Sus scrofa: one gene and its partners. The protein of the gene in region 4 purifies or fractionates together with the protein of the main gene of each other region. This does not show direct contact. Links are inferred from orthologs where the notes say so. Each region holds a gene or a part of one and is shown on either strand. Other genes may lie near its edges.

Region 1 (5,352 bases), on a different chromosome or scaffold from region 4:
GGTGGGGGGCTCCTGGCCCCTAGGCCTTGCGTCATTTTCTCCTGTGGACTTTCCCCAAGATTCTCAATGACCCAGGGGCTGTGTGAACAGGCCCGGCTTGGCTGCCTAGACAGGTCATCACCAGTTTTTGGCAACACAATTAAGGGACGTGGACCCCTCTGGAGATACTTTTTGATAATTTTATGGGTCTAGAATTTTCTCCTGGTCCTCTCTCGGGTGCAGAAAGGGACCTCTGCAGATTGCTGCGTGATGGGGAATATCACTTCCCAGAGGCGAGCCCAGATCTGCACGGTGATAGGCCAGCGATTTAGAAGGTACCTTCTAGCCTAACCTGTGGCATGAAATGGGGAAGCAAGGCTGGCAGGTGAAGCCTTTGGCTTCCGTGTGCCATGGCTGTTCCGGTCACTGGTCATCGCCGAGGAGTACCGTTCACGCCCAAGCCTTATTTTCACATTCTCCGTTATCATCTCTGAGGCCGTTTGGGGTCTCTCTAAGAACACAGCTCCCATTTATAAGCCCATTTCAATGGAGAATAAGCTCTGAAAAAACACTGTTTTGAATAAAGCTCACATTTCCCAGAAAATAGCCCCACTGTGATCCAAATAGGCGCGGCATTGTGCCCTGGGCCCTCCAACCTGCCTTAGCAGGAGCCGAGGCCACAGGGAGGACCCCGCGCGTGGGGGCTGCAGCTCTGGGTGCCGCGCAATTCCTCCTGCGCGGGGACATGGACACTCGGGGCAGGGCCCCTGTGGAATCGGGGCAGCCCAGGTGCTTCGTGGCTGCAGAATCAGTAGCCCCCCCCTCACGGGGTCCCCCCATGAGGGTGCTGGATACGATCCAGCCCTGGGGGGTGGGGGGTGGATCCCTCATGAAAAACCACTCACCATGAAAAACCACAGGACTGCGGGCTCAGCTCACATAGGCCTGGGCGAGATCCCAAACACCTGAGACCCTCAGGCCTGCCCCTGGACCCCTCTGAACCTCGGCCCCTGTCTCAGGGTGCTAGCAAGTGAACTACGTACCTCACTCTGAGTGGAAAAACGCAGGCAGGCTCAGGGCCTCTCATAAAGCAAGAGCTTCCTAACTACCAACACCACTGTCACTACTCGCGGCTTCAGAAGACAGACATTTTAGAGTAAAGGAAGTCTGCAAAGAAGAAGTGAAGTTCTATTTCACAGTACACAGGAAAAGGCACTGGTTTGGAAGCCATGTGGACCCTGGACTGAATCTCAACTCCACCACTTACCAGCTGCATGACCTTGGGTAGAGGTCCCTCTACCTCAGTTTCCTCATCTATACAATGGGCACAAAGCAAATACCGCACTGGATCGCTTGAGGTTCTCAAGAGACAAGGTGCGAGCAGTGCCCGTGACACCCCTTCCTCAGCTGTAACCTGGCAAATGGCAAGGTCCCTATTTCAAGCTGTCCCTGAGGTCACATCCCACCTGCCACTCCAATGTACCCGGGTCAGCTCTCAGCTCTGAGGATGGAGTCGAAAGGCCTTCTCAAGGCTCGTACCTTTCCCGGAGTTTCTAGGAGGCAGCGGGGGCGCCTCTGTGGTCGGTGATGTGGGCGAGTCTGTGCTTGTGGAGACGAAGATCTGGTTGGTGAAGGCGCCGTAGGAGAGCCGCTGTTTGTCCCGTGGAGTGCTGAACCCCGGCAGCGACAGCTTGTCCTGGGGCGAGATGCTGGAGGAGTGGCAGAAGCTCTGAGGTCTGGGCGAGCGCTCCTTCTTGATGGGGCTCGGCTGGCAAAGGAAAGGAACCGTGCGGTGGGTGAGCTGACCACACCCTGCCGGGGTGCGGAGGACTCCGCGGGGCAGGCTTAGGTGGGAATCTGGGTCCCCGGGGCCCTCCGCACGCAAAAGCCTGAGAGCCACCACACAGTGCAGGGGAAACATCCAGAGAGGACCCACCCTTTGGGTTCTCCTGACACTGCCAGGGCCCTGCCAGGGACCTGCTGCTTGGGGTCCCAGTATTCAGAAGCATCAGGTCACAGATTTAACCTTTGATCTGCAAACACTGCCTCTGGGCAGGGCACGTTCACCAGCATCTGAGCACTCGGGTGCGTTCACTCTTCTGCCTCTTTGATGCCGAAGTTCTCTCCTCGGCTCTCTCCTCATTTCACATCCTCTTGGGCAGGAAGCTCCCCCACGCCCGGGGTGGTGACGGAGACCTAAGGCTGATGACTCAGACCCGAGGGTCCCACCCAACCTCGTGGACTCTGAACACCATCAACCACTGACAAGGGACTGCTGGAGTGTGCTCCTGACGGCATCAGCACCCATGCAACTTCCCAGCTGGAACCCTCAGTGGCATCGAGAGCCACCAGGTCCTGCAGAGAGCTCGGCAATGGCCCTTGGCACATACCTTGTGCAGGTGCTCACCAGCTGATGCAAAAATGCCTGCATGAACCCTTGGAGGTAAATAAGCATGAGCTGTGACAGAGTCACATGGAACTGGGATTGACACCCAAGATCGTCTTTACTCGCTATGAGACGTTAGATAAACAGTAAAAATTCCCTGTGTGTCAGTTTTCTCCTCTGTGGGGGGGCGGCGGGGGGGGCAATAAGCAACACCCCAGTGGGCTTTGGGTAAAGATGATCTGAGGTAACACACGGGCTGACTGTCGCCTAGTCCATATTCAAATAATCAGTGACAACTTTTCATTTACTAGATTTTTGAAGGGTAATTTTATATGTCGACGGGGCTAGGCTATGCTGCACAAGCGTTTGGTCAAACACGAGTCTAGATGTTGCTGTGAAGGTATTTCTTAGATGTGATGACCATTTAGCTTAGATTTCGAGTAAAACTGGTGGGCCTCATTTACTTCGTTGATGGGCTCAAAAGACTGAGGCCCCCCGCCCCCACCCCGGCCGCAGAAAGAAGGCGGCATTCTGTTCCCACGCTCAGGACTGCACCCTCAACTCCTGCCGGAATCTCCAGCCGGCTGGCCTGCTCTGTGTATTTTGGACTTGCCGGTCCCGTCATCACAGGGGCCGATTCCTGAAAGCAGATTTCTGAGTCTCTACACACACCCCCCCACCCCGACTGGTTGATTTCTCTGGAGAACCCTGCCCGATTCGAGGGCTACTAAGGGGCGCCTAGTAAGCATCGAAAACAAGGAAAACGGCCCTGGTGAATCAGGCCCTGGGACCAAAACCCGTCTCAGAAGGAAAGGATCTCATCTGCTGGGTGTAGGCACAGGAAGAAGCGTTTAGGGGCTCAGAGGCGTCACTGACACTCACCTTGTCGTCCAGATCATCGTCGCTTTCGTCCATCTCCTCCTGTCGGAGATTCCACTCATACTCTACGTGCACGTGTGGATTGAACTTTCCAGATTTAGCCTGGGAAAGCTGAAAGTACGAGCAGACGTAACTAGTTTAATTTAAATGTCAGACCTTGATAGTACACAAACGGCAAATCCCACCTTACGCCTGGCTTCAGAGTCATCACCAGTAGCTGTAGTGTGGGCAAAACGTTGATTATACAAGTGGGATTGCTGCTGGACAGACGTAAGAGGAACTGCAAAAATGATAGGTGGAGCCTTTTTAACTTTGATAACTTGACGTCTCTCCAAAATTCAAAGCTTTCTTGCTAATATTAAAACGAGCCTCAGGAGTTCCTGTCCTGGCTCAGCGGTAACAAATGTGACGAGTCCAGGAGGACATGGGTTCGATCCCTGGCCTTGCTCAGTGGGTTAAGGATCTGGCATCGCTGTGAGCTGTGGTGTGGGTTGCAGGCTCGCTTGGGTCTCCCACTGCTGTGGCTGTGGGGTGGGCCAACAGCTGCAGCTCCGTTTTAACCCCTAGGCTGGGAAGCTCCCTATGACGCTGGTGCGGCCCTAAAAAAAAAAAGAAAAAAAAAAGAAAAGCCACCCCCCGCCCCCCAAGATTCTTAAAAAGGCAAATTCCTGGCTGGAAGGAAAAATCAGAGTAAGTGAAGCATGAGAGACAGGCCTTTAATGACAATCCCAGTTCAACATGTGGCCCACTTTCTTAGTCTTAAAACGGGGCAGGGAGAAGGCCCACTTCCTCAAAGGGTTCTTCTAAGAATAAAGGGGGACCACGGCTGTGCCTGGCCCGGGCCCTCGGCAGAATCCCCAGGGAACGCGACTTATCTTTCCCATTGCCCTGTTTCCAGCGGATCAGAGAACCGTGCTCCATGCAGTTACAAGCAAGGCCAAGCGGGGTCGGGAGGTGAGTGGTAGATAAGGATGGGGAGGGGGACATTCAGAAAACCACGACACCCTCACCTATACCTGCCCTATTTTTGGAACTGGCTCCTCCAACAATTCTTTACTGTTAAGCTACAGACTAATGGTCTAGCAAATAAAAAGCAGGACCTCAATCCACCAATCCGTCTGGTCTGAGAACTCCCAAATGTCTTTCAGCTGCAACACTCTAACTCGACTCAAAAGACATGTAGACGACAAATGTTATCACCGTACTATTTTTTTCCAAATATAGTCTTAGTGCTTGTCTGGATTTCTTTAGCCAATGTTAAAAAAAAAAAAAAAAAAAGAGTTCCCGCTGCGGCAAAGTGGGTTAAGAACCCAACTGTGGCAGTGTGGGTTCGATTCCCAGCCAGGAGCTGTGGGTTAAAGGATCCAGCATTGCCACAGCTGTGGTGCAGGTGGCAGCCGTGGCTGGGATTCAATCCTTGGCCCAGGAACTTCCATATATTGCGGGTGCAGGCATTAAAAAAAAAACCAAAAAAAAAAAACCCTGCTTCTTTCATTTCCAGTTGTGGTTTCGAGAAGGCTGTTTTAAGGCAGGTGGTCTAAGCCCCCTCTCACTCCCACGCTGCTTACCAGATCCTCGCACTGGGTGGCTTTCAGTCTCTTTGCTATGTCCAGGGCAGTCTCTCCAGCCTGGTTAACTAAAATGAGAGGAATACATTCGCATGATTAGCTAAGACACATCTTGAACAGCCAAAGAACAAGACTCACATTGCAGTGGAACAGGCGTGTCTCAGTTGCAGCCAATCAAACATGCTCACTGCGGTTATTCACAGACCTCAGCCCCACTTACCCACGTCCACAGTGGGCTTGCTCCGGAGAAGCAGCTTCAAGCACTCAGGTTTGCCGTACATACTACAGTAGTGCAGAGCTGTATTCCCCAGCGCTGTCTGCTTGTCTAGGTTTCCACTGAAAGAGGAAGACATTAGGAAAAAAAATGACTTGCTCTACAACTTAAGATTCACCATTTTTCTTTTCTGTGCTAATAACTGAGTTAAATTTGAGACCTAATTCTTATAAGCAGAGACAGGGATATCTTTAAGACGACACCTAAGTTTCTAAGCAACGTGTAACAGCCTGCATTTATTCAGCATCTACTACGTGTGGGACAGA
Region 2 (5,352 bases), on a different chromosome or scaffold from region 4:
ATGCTCCCTTGAGTTTGCCTGGGCCTGTGCTCCTGCCTCCTGGAACACGCTCCGCCGCAGGCGGATGGGCCATGGGGAATGTCCCAGCCGGTGGCCGGTTCCCACCGGTCCTGACCCCCTCCCGTCTGACCCATGGGGGCGTGTGACACACTAGCCGCCGCGAGACCTCGAGAGAGAGGACCGCCCCCCCGGGGAGGTCTTTGAGCAGGAGCACCCCGGCGGGCCCCCTCACCTGGCCCGTAGGCTCGGGCCTTCTTCGGATTTAGCTTGGGCCGCAGGGGAGCCCCTGGTTTCAGCTTGGCCTTGGGGAACTGCGACAGGTAGGTCATCACGGAGTGCTCGTCCACGTTGGGGTCCACGATCTCCTCAGGGGTGATCACCTGTCACGAGTGGAAGAAGAAGCCGTTTGGCCTGCGAGTCCCAGGATCCAGGGACGCAGCACCTCAGCCCCAGGCGGCCCACGGTACCTGAGGGATGCCCAGCCAGTCGTCGGCCTGCTGCATGGCTTCCCGCGCGTTGTTCACCGGCTTGCTGGCATCCCAAGAGTCCCAGTCGGGACACAGGCCTGCGGTGTGAGGAAGGCCGTGAGTCCGCGGGCACGCGGGACCTCCCTGCGCACCAACCCCGCCTCCCCCCCCCCCCCGCCCCGCCCCGCCCCGCAGGCAGCCCCCTAGCCCCCGCGCACCTGGAGCACAGCTGTCGACAAGGGCGCCCAGGGCCCTGCCGCTCTGCCAGTCCCGGCTGAAGTTGGTGATGGGCAGCTGCGGCAGCTTGTTCTGGATCCAGCCCAGGAGCCTCTGCTTGGGGGTCTGTTTCTTGGCCTCCTCGTCCTCCTCCTCATCCCACATGGGCATGGAGATGGAGTAGTGCAGGATCAGCGTCCAGATGAGGCCCAGGATCAGCTTGAGGTTCCCGTCCACGATGGCCTTGCTGTCTGCATGGGGAGGGAGCGGCAGAGCTGGGCAGGCCGGCCGACGGGCGCACACGGACATGGCCACGTGGGCTGGGGGGCAGCACACCCGCAGGCCCAGCAGCCCGGGCAGGAGGGGGAGTCTCTGGGTGGTGTGGGGGGGCAGAGCCTCTCTGCGCAGGTTCCTTTGAAGGGAACACATCCTTGTGTCCACATAGTGACAATGCGGCACAATGAGTGGGTGCTGCCAGAAGCCCCGGGGCTCTGGGGAGCCAGAGGAAGGACAGGGGACAATGCTGGGCTGCAGACAGGGCCAGGGGAGGCCTGGGGAGGCTCCCCCTCCTCAAAGGCAGCTCTGGACAGCGCGCGGGTTGCGTACTTCGCAGCTGCCCAAGCGGGGGCCCACTGTCCACCTCCCGGGGTCGCCAGGGGAGGCGCAGGAGGAGCAGCTGGGCCCCAGGACCTCGAGGCCAGAGCCCTGAGCTGGCCCAGAGGAAGAGGAAGGCAGGTGGGTGGGCAGTTGGGAAACAGAACTGCTACCCCAGGGTGGGCGGGTGGGTGGCGTGAGGCTGGGGAAGTGGAGGCGTTGGGCAAGGCCCCTTTGGGTGGAGGGTGTGAGCCCCACCCCACCCCCACTTCCTTCGCGCCCTCCCCTCCTCCACAGCGGGGAGGCCAGCGGGAGTTGGGCAGCAGGCCTGGTGCAGGGGAGGGGCTGGGAGCCCCAAGGAGCCAGTGGTTGGGCTGCATGGCCCTGACTCACTGGGGCCCTGCAGGGGTGGCCTGCCAGCCAGGAATGACGGGCAGGACACATTCCAGGGGCCCCCTCACCCAGCCCAGGGGGGTGGGCGGAGCCAGTGAGCCTAGGCTGGGCGCTCAGGGCCCAGCTTGGGAGCCCGGGTGGCAGAGGTCATGGGTGGGGTCCCTGAGTCTCGCTGCCTCAGCAGAGCCTGCTCAGCCGCTGCCCGCCCTCCTCGCCACCCCGCCACCTAACGGGTCACTGGGCTGCAGGCTGGTGGCCGCCAAGCTCACCACAGGGGAAGTGGTTAGGGCGGGCACCCTGCACCCCATCACCATGGCAACCCCTCCGGGCTCGGGCCCCACCCAAGGCGCTTCTGGGTCTCGGCCTCCTCAAGCGGCTGGGGGCAGGGGGGTGGGGCTCTGAGAACTGGAGAGGGCAACTCGTCTTTGGAACCCCTGCCGGCGTGTTCCACCTCCCCCAGCCATCGGAGAGAATAGTTGTCTAGTGAGTCAACTCCGGGTGGGGAGCAGGGGATGGACGCCACCAAAAGGGCCATCAATGGCAGGCCGCCTCCAAATCCAGGGAGCAGCACCTCGTGGACCAGCTCAACGCCACTCAAAGCAGAGTGGCCTCCCCGTTCCTGGGCCGGGGTTGGTCCTGGTCCTGCACCACTGCCTTGCACTGTCCCCAAAGGGCGGGCGGGCGGGAGGGTGGGAGGGGGTTCGGGCTGAGGGAACTGAAGGTTGAGAGGAGACCGAGGGCAGAGGAGCGAGTGGGCCTTTCCCCCCAGGCCCCCACCCCCAGAGTCCCGAGTCCAGCACAAGAGCCCTCGACCCACAACCACCCACGAGGGGACACACAAGGCCAAGCCCTGGAAGGTCCGGCTGGGCCCTCCCCCTGGTCCTTAGGAGGCTGCCTAGGCCCTCCCCATCCACCTCACAAAAGGAGCGAAGGACGGGGCTCAGGGTAGAGAGACGGACGGGTCGGATGGCCCCGCCCCATCCCACCCCCTTTCCCCAGCCCCCGGGGCCTGCCTGCCCCCTCCCTCCCCTAATCACTGCTGCTTTCCAACATTTTTTTGCCTTATATGGCAAAGCTCTGGGAACTAGGCCTGCTCCAGCCAGCTCACAAGAGGAGGAGAAGAAGGGAGGGGGGGAGGAGGAGACCCCCCCCAGACAACTGGGGTGTGGCCCGCCTCCCCACATCCGGTTGCCCCCCCACCCAAGGCTCAGAGATGACTCAGCTTGGCTAGACTGAGGTTGGGACTGGGGGGTGGGTCTCGGCCTGGACCTGCATTCCAGAGAAAGAGGTGGGGCCCTAGCGACCTGCCCTGAGTGCTAGGGGGCACCTGAGTGTCGGCCCCTCACTTTCTCAGGCTCAGCAAGGACCGCCCCAGGGCAATGGGGAAAGCTGGAGGGTCTCCTCCAATTCGGAGGAAAGCTTGTGCCCCTTCCCTCGCCCTTGCACATCTACCCCAAGTCACCAGTTCTGGTGCCTGTTCCCGAGGGGCTCCCCTCTCAAGTGCCTGGGAGGATGCAGTAGCCGGGTCAGTGGCAGCCTCGCCAGCCTCACGGACACGGGGCTGGCGGCGAGCCCAGCACATGCTGGACTACCTCACACCCAACTCCTGCCTTCTAGATGCAGAAGAGCAAGCTCTGCATAGAAGCAACGGTCTGGCCCCAGGTCGATAGTAACGGGATGCCCAACTAGACTACAGGCCAGCTCCCTGAACCGGCCAGCACCCAAACCCATCTCAGTTTTGCTAGCCGTGGTCCTCTCTGGCCTCCTAGTTCCTGAAAGGCGATCTAAACTTGGGCTTGGAGTCGTCTTCAGTGCGGGGCCCTAGACAATGGTAGTCCACAAACTCCAAATTCCCGCTTAGGGGAATCACAGGGCCCCCTGAAGGCAGAGGGCCCTCTCCAAACTGCTCTAGGGGGTGGAAAGCGCTGGCCTCTCCCTTGTTTGAGATGGGGCATTGGGCGCAGGGCCAGAGCCTGGCCGCTGCCCGCCCCCCCAGGCCGTCTCCCACCGAGGGTGCACTGGTGGGGGCGCGGCCTGTGGAGGATGTGAGCTCAGTCTGGGCGTGGGCCAGCCTCGGACCGGCGGGCGGGGGCGCGTAGCGGTCCACAAGCACCGCCGGCCTGCGAGCCTTTGTTCTCGAGGCCCGCACGGAGGTGGGCGGCCGCGGGGGCCCCTGGGGCAGTGCCCAGCTTTGGGGGGGGGTGTCTGCGAGAGGTCGGCCGGGGGGAGATGGGAGGACGCGCGGAGTTTCCCGCCCTCGCCCTCCCAGCGCCACGGGGCTGCCCATGCCCTCACCGATGGACACAAGCTTGATGCTCTCGCGGTCCAGGAACTCAAGCGCCACCGACACGTTCTCAAGCTGCATCTGGCGGAAGGTGGGCCTCTGATTGTGCTTGCGGTGCATCTTCTTCTGGCTGAGCACCTCGAGCAGCGCGATGAGCCGCAGCCCATCGCTCAGGTCCGTCTGCAGGTTGGCGATGCGCTTGCTCACGCACTTGAGGTGCTCGTTGCACCAACGCGTGAATGTGTTCTGCTGGATCTTCTTCCACGGCGCATCCTCCGCCAGGTCCTTCTCGGTGGCCGGCATCTCAGCGTCTCGCGTGTCGGCCCCGGTGCCCGGAGCCGCGCCCGCAGCGCTCTGGCCCGCCCGGGAGTGGGAGCTACTCATTTTGAGGCGCGAGGAGCCGAGGGGCGGTGCTGCAGCCTGGGCGAGGGGACGGCCCTTTAATTAAAGTCGCAGGCACTTCAGCGAGCGCAGGGTGAGGCAGAGAGCAGAGGTTGCGCCTGGAAGAGAGCGAGCCCTTTAAATGCGGGCGGGGGCGGGGCTAAGGGGCGGGAGCAACGTGGGGCGGGACCGAGGGTGGGGCTTCGGGCCGCACCCGCCCCGCCCCACCCCACCCGTTGGAATGCCCCCCTGAATCCCCCAGCCCCGGCGGTTTAGACTCGACCCCCCAGGCTCCGGAAGGGTCTTTGGGCCCGAAGCCGGCGAGGATGAGCCCAAGCCCTGTGATCTCCCGCCTACCCTGCGGGAAACTGCAGCGAGGGAAAGCTGAGCAGCCTCTGGCGCTGGACCACTTGGCCTCCAGCGGGCAAACCAAACAAGGGACTTTCCTTCCCCAAGGCCCCTGCGGGGGGTGGGGTGGCGCGCCCTCCCTGAGTCACGTGGGCTCCCCTCGGTCCCCCGCAGCCCCTCGCAGCCCCCTCCTCCCCCGAGCTCCGGCGCGTGGGGTTCTCTGGCCGCGCCCCAGCCCGCCGCCCAGGCAGCGGCAGCCGCAGCGGCGGGAAGGAGCCCGATCTTAAAGGCGAGCCTTCGGAGAGCGCGGGGCCGGGCCGGGCGCTGCTGCCAGCGCTTTGCGCGCGTGCGCCACGCCCGGGACACCCCGCAGCCGCCCCGCAGACCCCTTGCCCCAGCCCGCCTTCCCGCTCTGCGCGGCCCTGGCCTGCGCACCTGCGCCTGCCGGTCCCCACCGCCTCCCTCCCTCCCCGCTCCACCCGGGAGGAAATGGGGCACTGGGCCAGGAGGCCACCGGCACTCCAGGAGCCTGCGGCCTTGGAAGGGGCCCGGGCGTGCCAGTGGGCACTGGCAGAGGGCGCCGTGCGATGCGTGCACGCGTGCGGAGACGACGAGTGCCCGCCTGACCCGCCGGCCGCCCACCCGGGGCAGTCGGGGTTGCCTGTCCTG
Region 3 (4,276 bases), on a different chromosome or scaffold from region 4:
CTCCAAAAAGACTCAAAATAACTATGCTGGTCTTAAATTGTCTTTACATCACATAAACGAAGCATCAGATCTCTCATATGTGACACAGAAAAACACCAGTTGGCTTATTAATTCATTCTGAGGCTAACCTACTGTCTTAACTGTTCTAGTTACTTTTTTACCCTTCGGCAGGGAGGGGTCAGCAAACATTTCCTGCAAGGAACCAGAGAGTAAATACTCAAGGCTCTGTGGGGCTCTCTGGCAGTACCTAAACAGACAACATGTGACAACAGGTAACACTGTGTAAGTAAGAGAATGAGCCCGGCTGTGTTCCAAGAGACCTGGCTAGCCCCTGAGGACAGTGCTGGCCCGCAGCCCCCTCACCTGGCTGCTGGTTCTCTCTCACTACCTTCCTAACCCAGAGGCCAGGCAACAGCAACTCCTTTTCCTCACGGCTGTTGCTCTCTCCCTCCTCCCTGCAACGCCACGCTGTTCAGAAACTCATCGCCATCGGACCATGCCACCCATCAGCCCTCTTTGCCCAGGTCATTTCTTCTCACACCTGCTCTGCTGGGCGTGGGCACGATACGCTCTCTCCACCCTGTCCTGATGTCATCCTTAGTGACCTTGTTCTTCTCCCCCTCACTCGGCAGGATACACAGCTGGGTGCCACTCTGCTCTGCCCCTGCTCTCCAGCAACTGAACACGGTGTGAGAGGAACTCAACAGCTAGCTTGAGAAGGACCCTCACCACGACTGAGCCCCTGGGCACTGCAATCCCTCAACACTTCTCTCTTCCACTCTCCCGGAAACCATCTCAAGCCTCCCCCTATACGTGATAAACCCTGGCCGCCTCCTCCCCCTCCCAACCCATCTTGCTACCTCCACCTCCCTCAACAATCCTCTCACCACACAACCCTTAACGAGCCCTTAAACAAGTCAGATCCTACCATGTCTCTGCTCAGGACTCTCCTGAGACTTTCTCTCTCGCTAAGAGCTAAGCCAAATTCTTTCCCACAGCTGAGCCAGACCTGCGTCCTGACAGCCGTTCTGAGCTCACCTCCCTGCGCACTCTGCTCCTGCCACACCTGCACATCCCAACCAGAGCTGTTCCTGCCTGCAAGATTCTCCTCCCACAGAGTCGGGCTGCTCCCTCGCTTGCTCCCTTCAGGCCTGTGCTCAGAAGTTACCTTGTCCCACCAGAGTCCTTCCCTGATGACACTGCACGAAGGAGCAGACCATCTCACCCATCACCTCCACCTTCTCGCTCCTACCCTGACTTTCCTTCACAGTGCTCATTACTGCTAATACATTATTCACAGGCTAAAAACGGGGACTTATTTTTGTTTTGTTTCTCTCAGCACCTAGACAAGTGTTTGACACCCAAAAGTAGTTCAAGAAATATTTGCTGGGGAGTTCCCATTGTGGCTAAGCAGGTTAAGGACCCAACACTGGCTCTGTGAGAATGTGGGTTCGATCCCTGGCCTCACTCAGTAGGTTAAAGGATCCTGAGTTGCCACATGCTGCAGCGTAGTTCATAGTTCGCAGATATGGCTCAGATCTGGAGTCGCTGCAGCTGTGGTGTAGGCTGGCAGCTGCAGCTCCGATTTGACCCCTAGCCTGGGAACCTCCATATACCACAGGTGCAGCAGTAAAAAGGAAAAATAATCACTCGAGACTGATTTTAAATTATATGTATAACTCAATAAAATCAGAAAAATGAGTGAAGTACTTAGACATTTTAATTTCAACAATGTGAGTCACAAATGAGATTTGTAACATTTGTATCTCCAATATATACATAGTGTCTCTGCGGGATATAATCTCATTATCTAAAACAACTGATCCAAGTTGGTGAGATGAACCTCAGAGTTTAACTCAAAATTAAATGACTCTTGGTGTTTAGTATGTATACCGTACTTAACACAGTCCAGGCTTAGAGGGGGAAAAAAGCCATATAACCATTAACTACTGCATACTAGTTTAAAATTTCCTTCTTACTCTACACATCAGCTACTACCAATTAAAGTCTGTTTCAAGGGGAGTTCCCTTGTGGTGTAGCAGGTTAAGGATCTGGCATTGTCACTTCAGCGGCTCAGGTTGCTGCCATGACATGAGTTCAGCCCCTGGGGAACTTCCACATGCTGCAGGTGAGGCCAAATAAATAAAGTCTGTTTCAAGAGCTATAACAGTTGACAGGGATGCAAAAGAACTGGAGACATGGTGTTATACTACCAGACTGAGGAGATAAAACATATGCAAGAAACAGCCAGAAAATAACAGAATCAGAAATACGAGACAGTCCAAGAGCAGCACGCTGATTACATAGTCAAAGAATAAGTTAAGAAATAAAAATAAAACCCAACGGAGGCATTTCTCACTGCATTTAAGGGCACTTTGGTTGCACCAGGCTGTTTTGTTACAGATGAACCAACATCTGGCCCTGAACCTAATCGCCTCTATCCACTGAAAACAGAGGTGACTCAACACTAGGATCACTCTGAGAAAAGCTCATCTTGGGGGGGTCCCGTTGTGGCGCAGCAGAAACAAATACAGCTAGGAACCATAGGGTTGTAGGTTTGATCCCTGGCCTTGCTCAGAGGGTTAAGTATCCAGCGTTGCTGTGAGCTGTGGTGTAGGTCACAGACTCGGCTTGGATATGGTGTTGCTGTGGCTCTGGTGTAGCTCCAATTAGACTCCTAGCCTGGGAACCTCGATATGTTGCAGGTGTGGCCCTAAAAAAGCAAAAATAAAGGTTCATCTTGAGGGTTATCTACTTCCTCCCTGTTCCAGGCAGACTGAACTAGGAGTTTGTTTAGGAAGACCTCTTGCTCCCTCTGGTGGTTAAAAAGTATGTTAACAGTGTTTTAAAAGTACGTTAACAATTGGATTATTGACTTGATACTTACAGAGAGTTTTTCCACATCTCCCTTCAACACTCGTTCTAAGTAAAGCTGTTTAAGCTCTCGTTCCAAACGTGATGGCAGCCCAGGGTACATAGTAGATCCTCCAGAAAGCACAATGTGCTTATAGAATTCAGATCTAGAAAGACACAATAGGTGTTCATTACAGGTTTCAGATCAGTAAACAGTACTTCTGAGCTCCTTTATTTACATCAGCCTCAGGTGGGTGCTGGGAAAATTAAATAAAATTCAACATGTAAACCACAGGGCTGCATGTTTGCTACTACTACTGTTCACAGATAAACCCTTTTTATATATAAAGTATTTATTATCATTTATTATCACGTTGATGGCAATACTTCTAAAGCACATATCTTCTTACAAATGTAATTGAGTCTTTTAACAATGCAGTTTACACTACAAGCCTGTTGTGTTTGGACTGTGCTATCACAGTGCTTTCCTGGAGCCACAGAGGTGTGATTGTTTACTACAATTAACCAGAGTCGGCCATGACTCCAGTTCTTGCTTTTGACTTTTCCCATTTGCCTTCTGCCATTTTTTGTTCCTTTGCCTTGAGGCTGTCAGCTATTATTTATGGTTAGATTGATGTGTTAGCTTCTTAGAGCAGTCCTCTCTTTCCTCCTTAAATATGATGTTGTTGGTCATGATACCAGATAATCAAAACTAAAATAATTGCATATGTAGAAAAAGTACTACAATCTGAGTGAGAGAGGAACTCTTCTCATAGTAAAGCTCAGGACCTGAGTCACATCTGTTTTGGTTTCATTCAAACTTGCCTCCAGGTTTTTATTTAGTTCCAGGTCCTCAAGGGCTCAAGCTATTGTAATTCTAGCTTCTAGAAGAAGTTTTGTATTATATTTAATTGTGGAAGTATGCAAATGAGTATAACATAAACTAAGTAGTTAAGGATCTGTATCCATGAACATTTTACATGTGTGCTTTCCACATGAAAAACAAAATCTGAGTTGTGCTACTTGCTAAACCTGATTCCAGTGCTTTGGGAATGCCAAAACATTAATCACCACCAACAGGAATGCACATATAAATATAACTATTAATATAGCTATTAGTGATCATTAAATCAAGGGACCAAAAACATCTACCTATTCCCTACTATGTGCATTTATCATAATTATGAAGTCTAGACTAGATTTTTTTTACCATCTTCCATTAGATTTATAGCCTGTTGTAAGCCAAGAGCTACTTTTATTAATTTCCATTATTGTCCTGTTCCCCAGCCATCCCATAAAATTTTTGGCTATTTCACTCAAGGTTAAATAAACACTTGTTTAATAAAATGCTTCTGAGTGAATTTCTCAATAACATGATTATAAAAGACAGCTTTCTAACTATGACTCAACTCTAGATACAATA
Region 4 (4,948 bases):
AAACGCACAGACCCTCACCCCTCGAACCCTCCATCCGCTCCCAGCCCACCCGCTGCCAACTGTCCCTCCCCCGCGGCGCTGACCTGGACACCCCACACTGCAGGCGGTGCTGAGGGCACCTCTCCTTCCTCTGTAGTGAACAGCAAAACGAGCAACATCAGAGCCAACTTTGAAAACCTGGCCAAGGAGAAGGAGCAGGAGGACCGGCGGAAGGCGGAGGCGGAGCGGGCGCAGAGGATGGCGAAGGAGAGGCAGGAGCAGGAAGAAGCCCGGCGGCAGCTGGAGGTGAGTCAGCGTGGCCAGAGGGCCCAGGACCTCGGGCTGCGGGCTTGCCTCGCTCCCTATCTGCGATCCAGAGAGGTTTTGGGGATGGCACTGGGCTCGCCCCGAACGCTCTGCTCTCAGGGACCTAAATTGTCCCCAGACGCTCGTCCACTGACCTGCCCCAGTCCTGCCCCTGCTGACCCAGTGCTGCGGCGCCCACCAGCCTGTCCTCAGTCCCGCAGCCTCTGCGCTCGTCGCACCCCAGGAACCCACTCTCTGGGGGGCGGCTGGGCTCACAGGGGTTCCCCATGAACGCAGTGCGCCTGCCCGCGTGGCACCTGCTCCTGGAGCCTGGGGCTGTGGGGCGGCCTGGGACCTTCATCCTGTTTTCCCACGAGGGAGGGTGGAGACGGGAGCCGTGACGAGTGAGCAGGAGGGTGTGGACTCGCCTTCCCCAGCTTTTCTGGAGGGACTGAGGCCTAATGGCTCTGGTCCCACCTTGTCACCTGCTCTGGGCGACCTGGGCTCGGCTCTGAGCTGCTTGTGGAAGCCCCTCGACACTGGGGGCGTAGGTAGAAGCTGAAGCGACGTGCGTGATGTATCACAGACCGCGAGGCTTTCCTTCCACCGTGGACACCCCCTCCTGGGTTGCAGTGAGGGCCCTGGGAACCCGGTCCAGCGAGAACGGTGGTTGAGGAAAGAAACGCGTGGGCAGGAAACGCCGGGCTCTGGGGACCGGGTTAAATGAGCCGATCCGCGTGCTGGCGTGTGCGTGAGGTCGCAGTGACAGAGGCCTGCGTGATGACCACGTGCCGTTCCTGAATTGCTGGGACGTTGTGGTTTCCCTTCGTCGTAATCACGCTGTGAGGCGTCTGTTTCTCGTTTTGTGACTTGGAGTTTAACCCCCGAGACCTGAACGATGCAGAAGGAGTGGAAGGCTTGGGAAGAAAGTGGCTTTGGGTCGCTGTATCCAGCCTCTTGGCTTCACAGGTTCCCTTGCAGTCCCTTTGGCCGGGTTGCCCTCTCCCTGTCCACCTGAGCCCTGCAGTGTGGGGGGCGCTGGCGTCTGAGTACTTACTCCCCTGGGCAGGCGGGGTTCACGATGCTCGGCTCTCAACTCTTGAGAGCTCGAGAGCCCACGGGTGTCTCTGTTCCCGGCCGGGTCGGGAGTGGCTGTCACAGAACCTTGTGCCACTGCAGTGTGGCCACAGGCCTGGGACTCCGGGAGCCCATGCTTAGCCCAGCCCAAGCGTGGCCGCTTCAAGGAGACATGGGTACTTAGCGCTGTTCCAGGCGCTGTGGGGCCTCGTGACCGCCCTCTGCAGGCCATGCAGAGCTGCTCTGGTGCCGAGAGCTGTGCGGGTCTCAGGACACACGACAGTGGTGCCGTCCCCTGTAGGAGAGGCAGGCTGGCGGAGCAGGTGTAGCTCCTGCCCCACCCCCCCCCCACCCCCAAGAGCCACCCACCTCCCTGGAGCCTCAGGTCCTTATCTGTGGCGGGGAGGAAATCCAGCCTTTCGGTTGTAGCACTGGCTTCCCGGGGCCGCTGCGCCGTGTTCCCACCGTGCAGGGGCTGGGCCCCGTTTGTCAGCGCACCGTCTGGACGTTAGCAGTCCTAGGCGGCACGGCGCTGGCTCCTGCTGGCGGCTCCCGAGGAGCGTGTCCCTGCCTCTGGTGCTTCCTAACCCCCACGACCTCTGCTTTCCCTCTGCCCCCTCTTGTAAGGACACGCCAAGGCCACCCCGCAGCTCAGGTCCTTGCCTGGCCACCGGTGCAGCCTCGTGCCTGGAAGGCTCCGTATTCGCAGGCCTGGGGTCAGGACCTCAGCATCTCCCCCACGGCCCGTTCCCTGTGTCTGGAGGTCGCGTCCATGTGACGTGCAGAGACCACTCCCTGTGTTTCCGCGTCCGAGGCAGACGTGGGCCCCTGGGGCACGTGTGGGTGACCGGCCGCCTGCTGCCTCTGGCTTGGGTCCCAGCAGCCCCGGGGTCGTGAGGGGCGGCGGGGGGGCGCGGGCCCGGGGGTCTGTTGGGAGGACTCACGGGGACCCGTGCTGCAGAGCAGACCCGCCCCGACGTCTGCAGTGTCCCCTCTCTGCGGACTCCCAAGGTGCTGCTGCCGGTGACGTGGCGCGGCCGGCTCCCCGCTGACCACCCCCGTCTCTGAACCGTAGGAGCAGGCCCGGGCCCAGAAGCCCACGCCGCCCGCGTCCCCCACGCCTCAGCCCGCTCCGGAGAGGCCGCCGTCGAGCCCCGTCTACGAGGTGGGTGCTTCTGCTCAGTTTGTAGGTGAGTCTGACTGCCCGGGTCAGCGCCCCGTGGACACGGAGACCCTCAAACCGCGGCTGGTGTCAGGGCTCGGGGAGTTTGGTTGCAGCTCGGGGGTGTCAGCAGAGCGCTGTTGGTGTCCTCCTGCGTGTGACTCGGTGGTCACTCCCTCGCCTCCCCTCCACAGAGGGCCTGGCGCGAACGGCCCCCCCGCCCCCCGGGCTTGGCTGCTCTGGCCGTGGGATGGGGAGACGCTGTGGAGCTGCCCTCAGAGGTGCCCTGGGGGATTGGGTGGCCTCGGAGGTCTGGGGCCTGGCAAGGCAACAGGGCGAACCCGCCCCTGGAAAAAGCAGCCCTGACGGCTGGCGGTGCCGGCAGGTGGGCGCCCGACGGGTCTCCGGTGGCAGTAGGACAGGGGTGTCCAGGTGCGAGAACAGGACTGTGGGGGAGGGGCTGGGCCCTGGTCCTCTCGCCGCTGCCGCTGTACCATGGTTGGGACCCAGGCGTCCTCAGTTCGTCTCAGCTGGGACTGCAGCGCGGCTGTGTGGCTCAGGGACCCTGTCCGGGCCGCGAGAACTGTCTCCCTGACCCTTCACAGGACGCGGCTCCCCTCCAGGCCGAGCCGAGCTACAGGGCCCCCGAGAGCACACACGAGCCTGAGCCGGTGTACAGCGTGGAGGCTGCCGGCTACCGAGAGGCCTGCGCGCCGGAGGCCGTCTACGAGAGCACGGAGGCCCCGGGCCACTACCCAGCAGGTGCGGCCCCTGCCTTGTCCCCTCTGCCCCCGTTCTCTGAAAGTCGCCTCTTCCCCTGCTGCCCCCCGCCAGCCGTGCCCTCCGGCCTCCTCTCCTTCTGGACGGGCCCAGCCTCGGGAGTCGGGGTTCCAGGAAGACCCCTGAGTGTGTGGGGGCCTCTGAGCAGGGCGGGCCTGAGGGAGGGGGTTCCTGCTGCCCTCTGGTCCCAGTCGGTCTCTGGACGCTGGCAGGAGCCAGAGCAGCGTGAGGCCTCGGACGTCTTCCCAGGGGGCTGAACGCCGAGGTCCAGCTCTTCCTTGTAAAGATGAGGCGTCCGGGAATGTCCCCGGATGGGCCTAACCCAGGCCTTCTCCGCCTGGGAGGGACAGGCGCCTCGTCCCAGAGTCGACACAGGGCAGAGCTCTTGCCTCCCCCAGCGCGCTGTGAGGCGGGCTCGGCCGTCTCCCACTTGCCATTCCCCTAACTCGGATGTGACCGTTCTTAAAATTAGTGCGAAGTATTTAAAACGTAAAAAGTTACCTTCTGAAAGTGTCCTGGGACCTGTCAGAGTCCTTGGCCCTCGCCAGGTGGGCTGGAGCCGGGAGCCAGGCCCTTGAAGCCCGTCCTCCTGGCGGGTGGGGCCTGGCCGCCCCAGGAAAGCGCCCTCCCGCCTGGCCTCCGCTGCAGCCTCGCAGCCTCGCAGCCTCGGGAAGGTCGTCAGCGGAGGGGGCCCGGGCCCTCACGGGGTCCTCTGTGTTGCAGAGGAAGGTGCCTATGACGAGTACGAGAACGACCTTGGAATCACGGCCATCGCCCTGTACGACTACCAGGCTGGTGAGAAAGGGGCCCGGGCCCCACGCGGGAGGGCCGCCGCCGTCCCTCCAAGCCTCCCTCACCGTTTTAGAAATGGGGATTTCGCTGCATTTTCCAAGTTACTTGAAAGAGTAAATGCAGTGCAGAGAGTTCCTGGCTTTCCCTCCCTGAATCGCCTGAGAGCTGCAGGGTGCCCCGTCCCCCTAAAAAGCCCAAACCGGGACACTGCTACAGAAGCGGTTTCCTCCAAGAGTGCAGAGTCACTGTTGAGACCGCCACACCTGCAGAGGCCCTCACGTTTACCAGCTGTACCCAGAACTCTCTGGTCCTGGTCCTGTCTGGGCCTGGCCCCAGTGCCCTCCCATCCCACCCGGAGCAGCCCCCCAGCAGCCCCCCAGCAGCCCCCTGCCCCTCAGGCCCTTGGCGCTTTTCCTTCTGGGGTGACCCTTGGCGGCCCGGCCAAGGCCCTGCATCCTGGCAGCGTCTGTGGCTGTCTGTCCTCCGTCTGTCCTCCGCCGTGGTGGTCACCACTGTCACCTGGCCCACTGGTGCCAACCACGTTCTCCACTGCTAGGGCCCCACGTCTCCCCTCGCAGCTGCTGAGGATTTTGTGGGCCCCCCAAGGTCCCGTTCATCCTCTTCGAACTTCCAGCCCCTGTAGCGTGGTTCCTGGTCCAGGCGTCCAGCCACTCCGGGGAGCGTCCTCTGCCCTGGGAAGAGCTTCCCTCCTGGGGGGGTCTCGCCCGCCCCCGCCCGCCCGGCCCCTCCCGTTCAGCCGGGGCTCCCTCCAGGCTTCCCTGTTCAGGAGGAGCAGCCTGGCTTTCGGAGCCTCAGCGAACGCGTTCTTGCCCTCGTAGCAAGGGCTGCTTG

The links. Proteins that work in one complex are often made in the same cells at the same time.
Region 1: the proteins of CTTN (region 4) and ASAP1 purify together in Homo sapiens (affinity purification with western blotting; 6 studies listed by BioGRID and IntAct, with this or other methods). This does not show direct contact. The link is inferred for Sus scrofa from reciprocal best matches to the Homo sapiens genes CTTN and ASAP1.
Region 2: the proteins of CTTN (region 4) and FLNA purify together in Homo sapiens (affinity purification with mass spectrometry; 3 studies listed by BioGRID and IntAct, with this or other methods). This does not show direct contact. The link is inferred for Sus scrofa from reciprocal best matches to the Homo sapiens genes CTTN and FLNA.
Region 3: the proteins of CTTN (region 4) and ACTR2 purify together in Homo sapiens (affinity purification with mass spectrometry; 3 studies listed by BioGRID and IntAct, with this or other methods). This does not show direct contact. The link is inferred for Sus scrofa from reciprocal best matches to the Homo sapiens genes CTTN and ACTR2.

What each region holds. Positions count from the first base shown.
Region 1 is NC_010446.5:10,417,546-10,422,897, reverse strand, and holds part of ASAP1 (arf-GAP with SH3 domain, ANK repeat and PH domain-containing protein 1), read right to left. Parts: intron 5,149-5,352; coding exon 5,033-5,148; intron 4,881-5,032; coding exon 4,813-4,880; intron 3,356-4,812; coding exon 3,248-3,355; intron 1,748-3,247; coding exon 1,519-1,747; intron 1-1,518. UniProt on the Homo sapiens protein: Possesses phosphatidylinositol 4,5-bisphosphate-dependent GTPase-activating protein activity for ARF1 (ADP ribosylation factor 1) and ARF5 and a lesser activity towards ARF6.
Region 2 is NC_010461.5:124,892,338-124,897,689, reverse strand, and holds part of FLNA (filamin-A), read right to left. Parts: intron 4,768-5,352; exon of another isoform or gene 4,693-4,767; intron 4,455-4,692; 5' UTR 4,339-4,454; coding exon 3,966-4,338; intron 935-3,965; coding exon 686-934; intron 566-685; coding exon 468-565; intron 381-467; coding exon 233-380; intron 1-232. UniProt on the Homo sapiens protein: Promotes orthogonal branching of actin filaments and links actin filaments to membrane glycoproteins. Anchors various transmembrane proteins to the actin cytoskeleton and serves as a scaffold for a wide range of cytoplasmic signaling proteins.
Region 3 is NC_010445.4:76,694,636-76,698,911, forward strand, and holds part of ACTR2 (actin-related protein 2), read right to left. Parts: intron 3,021-4,276; coding exon 2,888-3,020; intron 1-2,887. UniProt on the Homo sapiens protein: ATP-binding component of the Arp2/3 complex, a multiprotein complex that mediates actin polymerization upon stimulation by nucleation-promoting factor (NPF).
Region 4 is NC_010444.4:3,032,500-3,037,447, reverse strand, and holds part of CTTN (src substrate cortactin), read left to right. Parts: intron 1-136; coding exon 137-285; intron 286-2,437; coding exon 2,438-2,527; intron 2,528-3,129; coding exon 3,130-3,286; intron 3,287-4,027; coding exon 4,028-4,099; intron 4,100-4,948.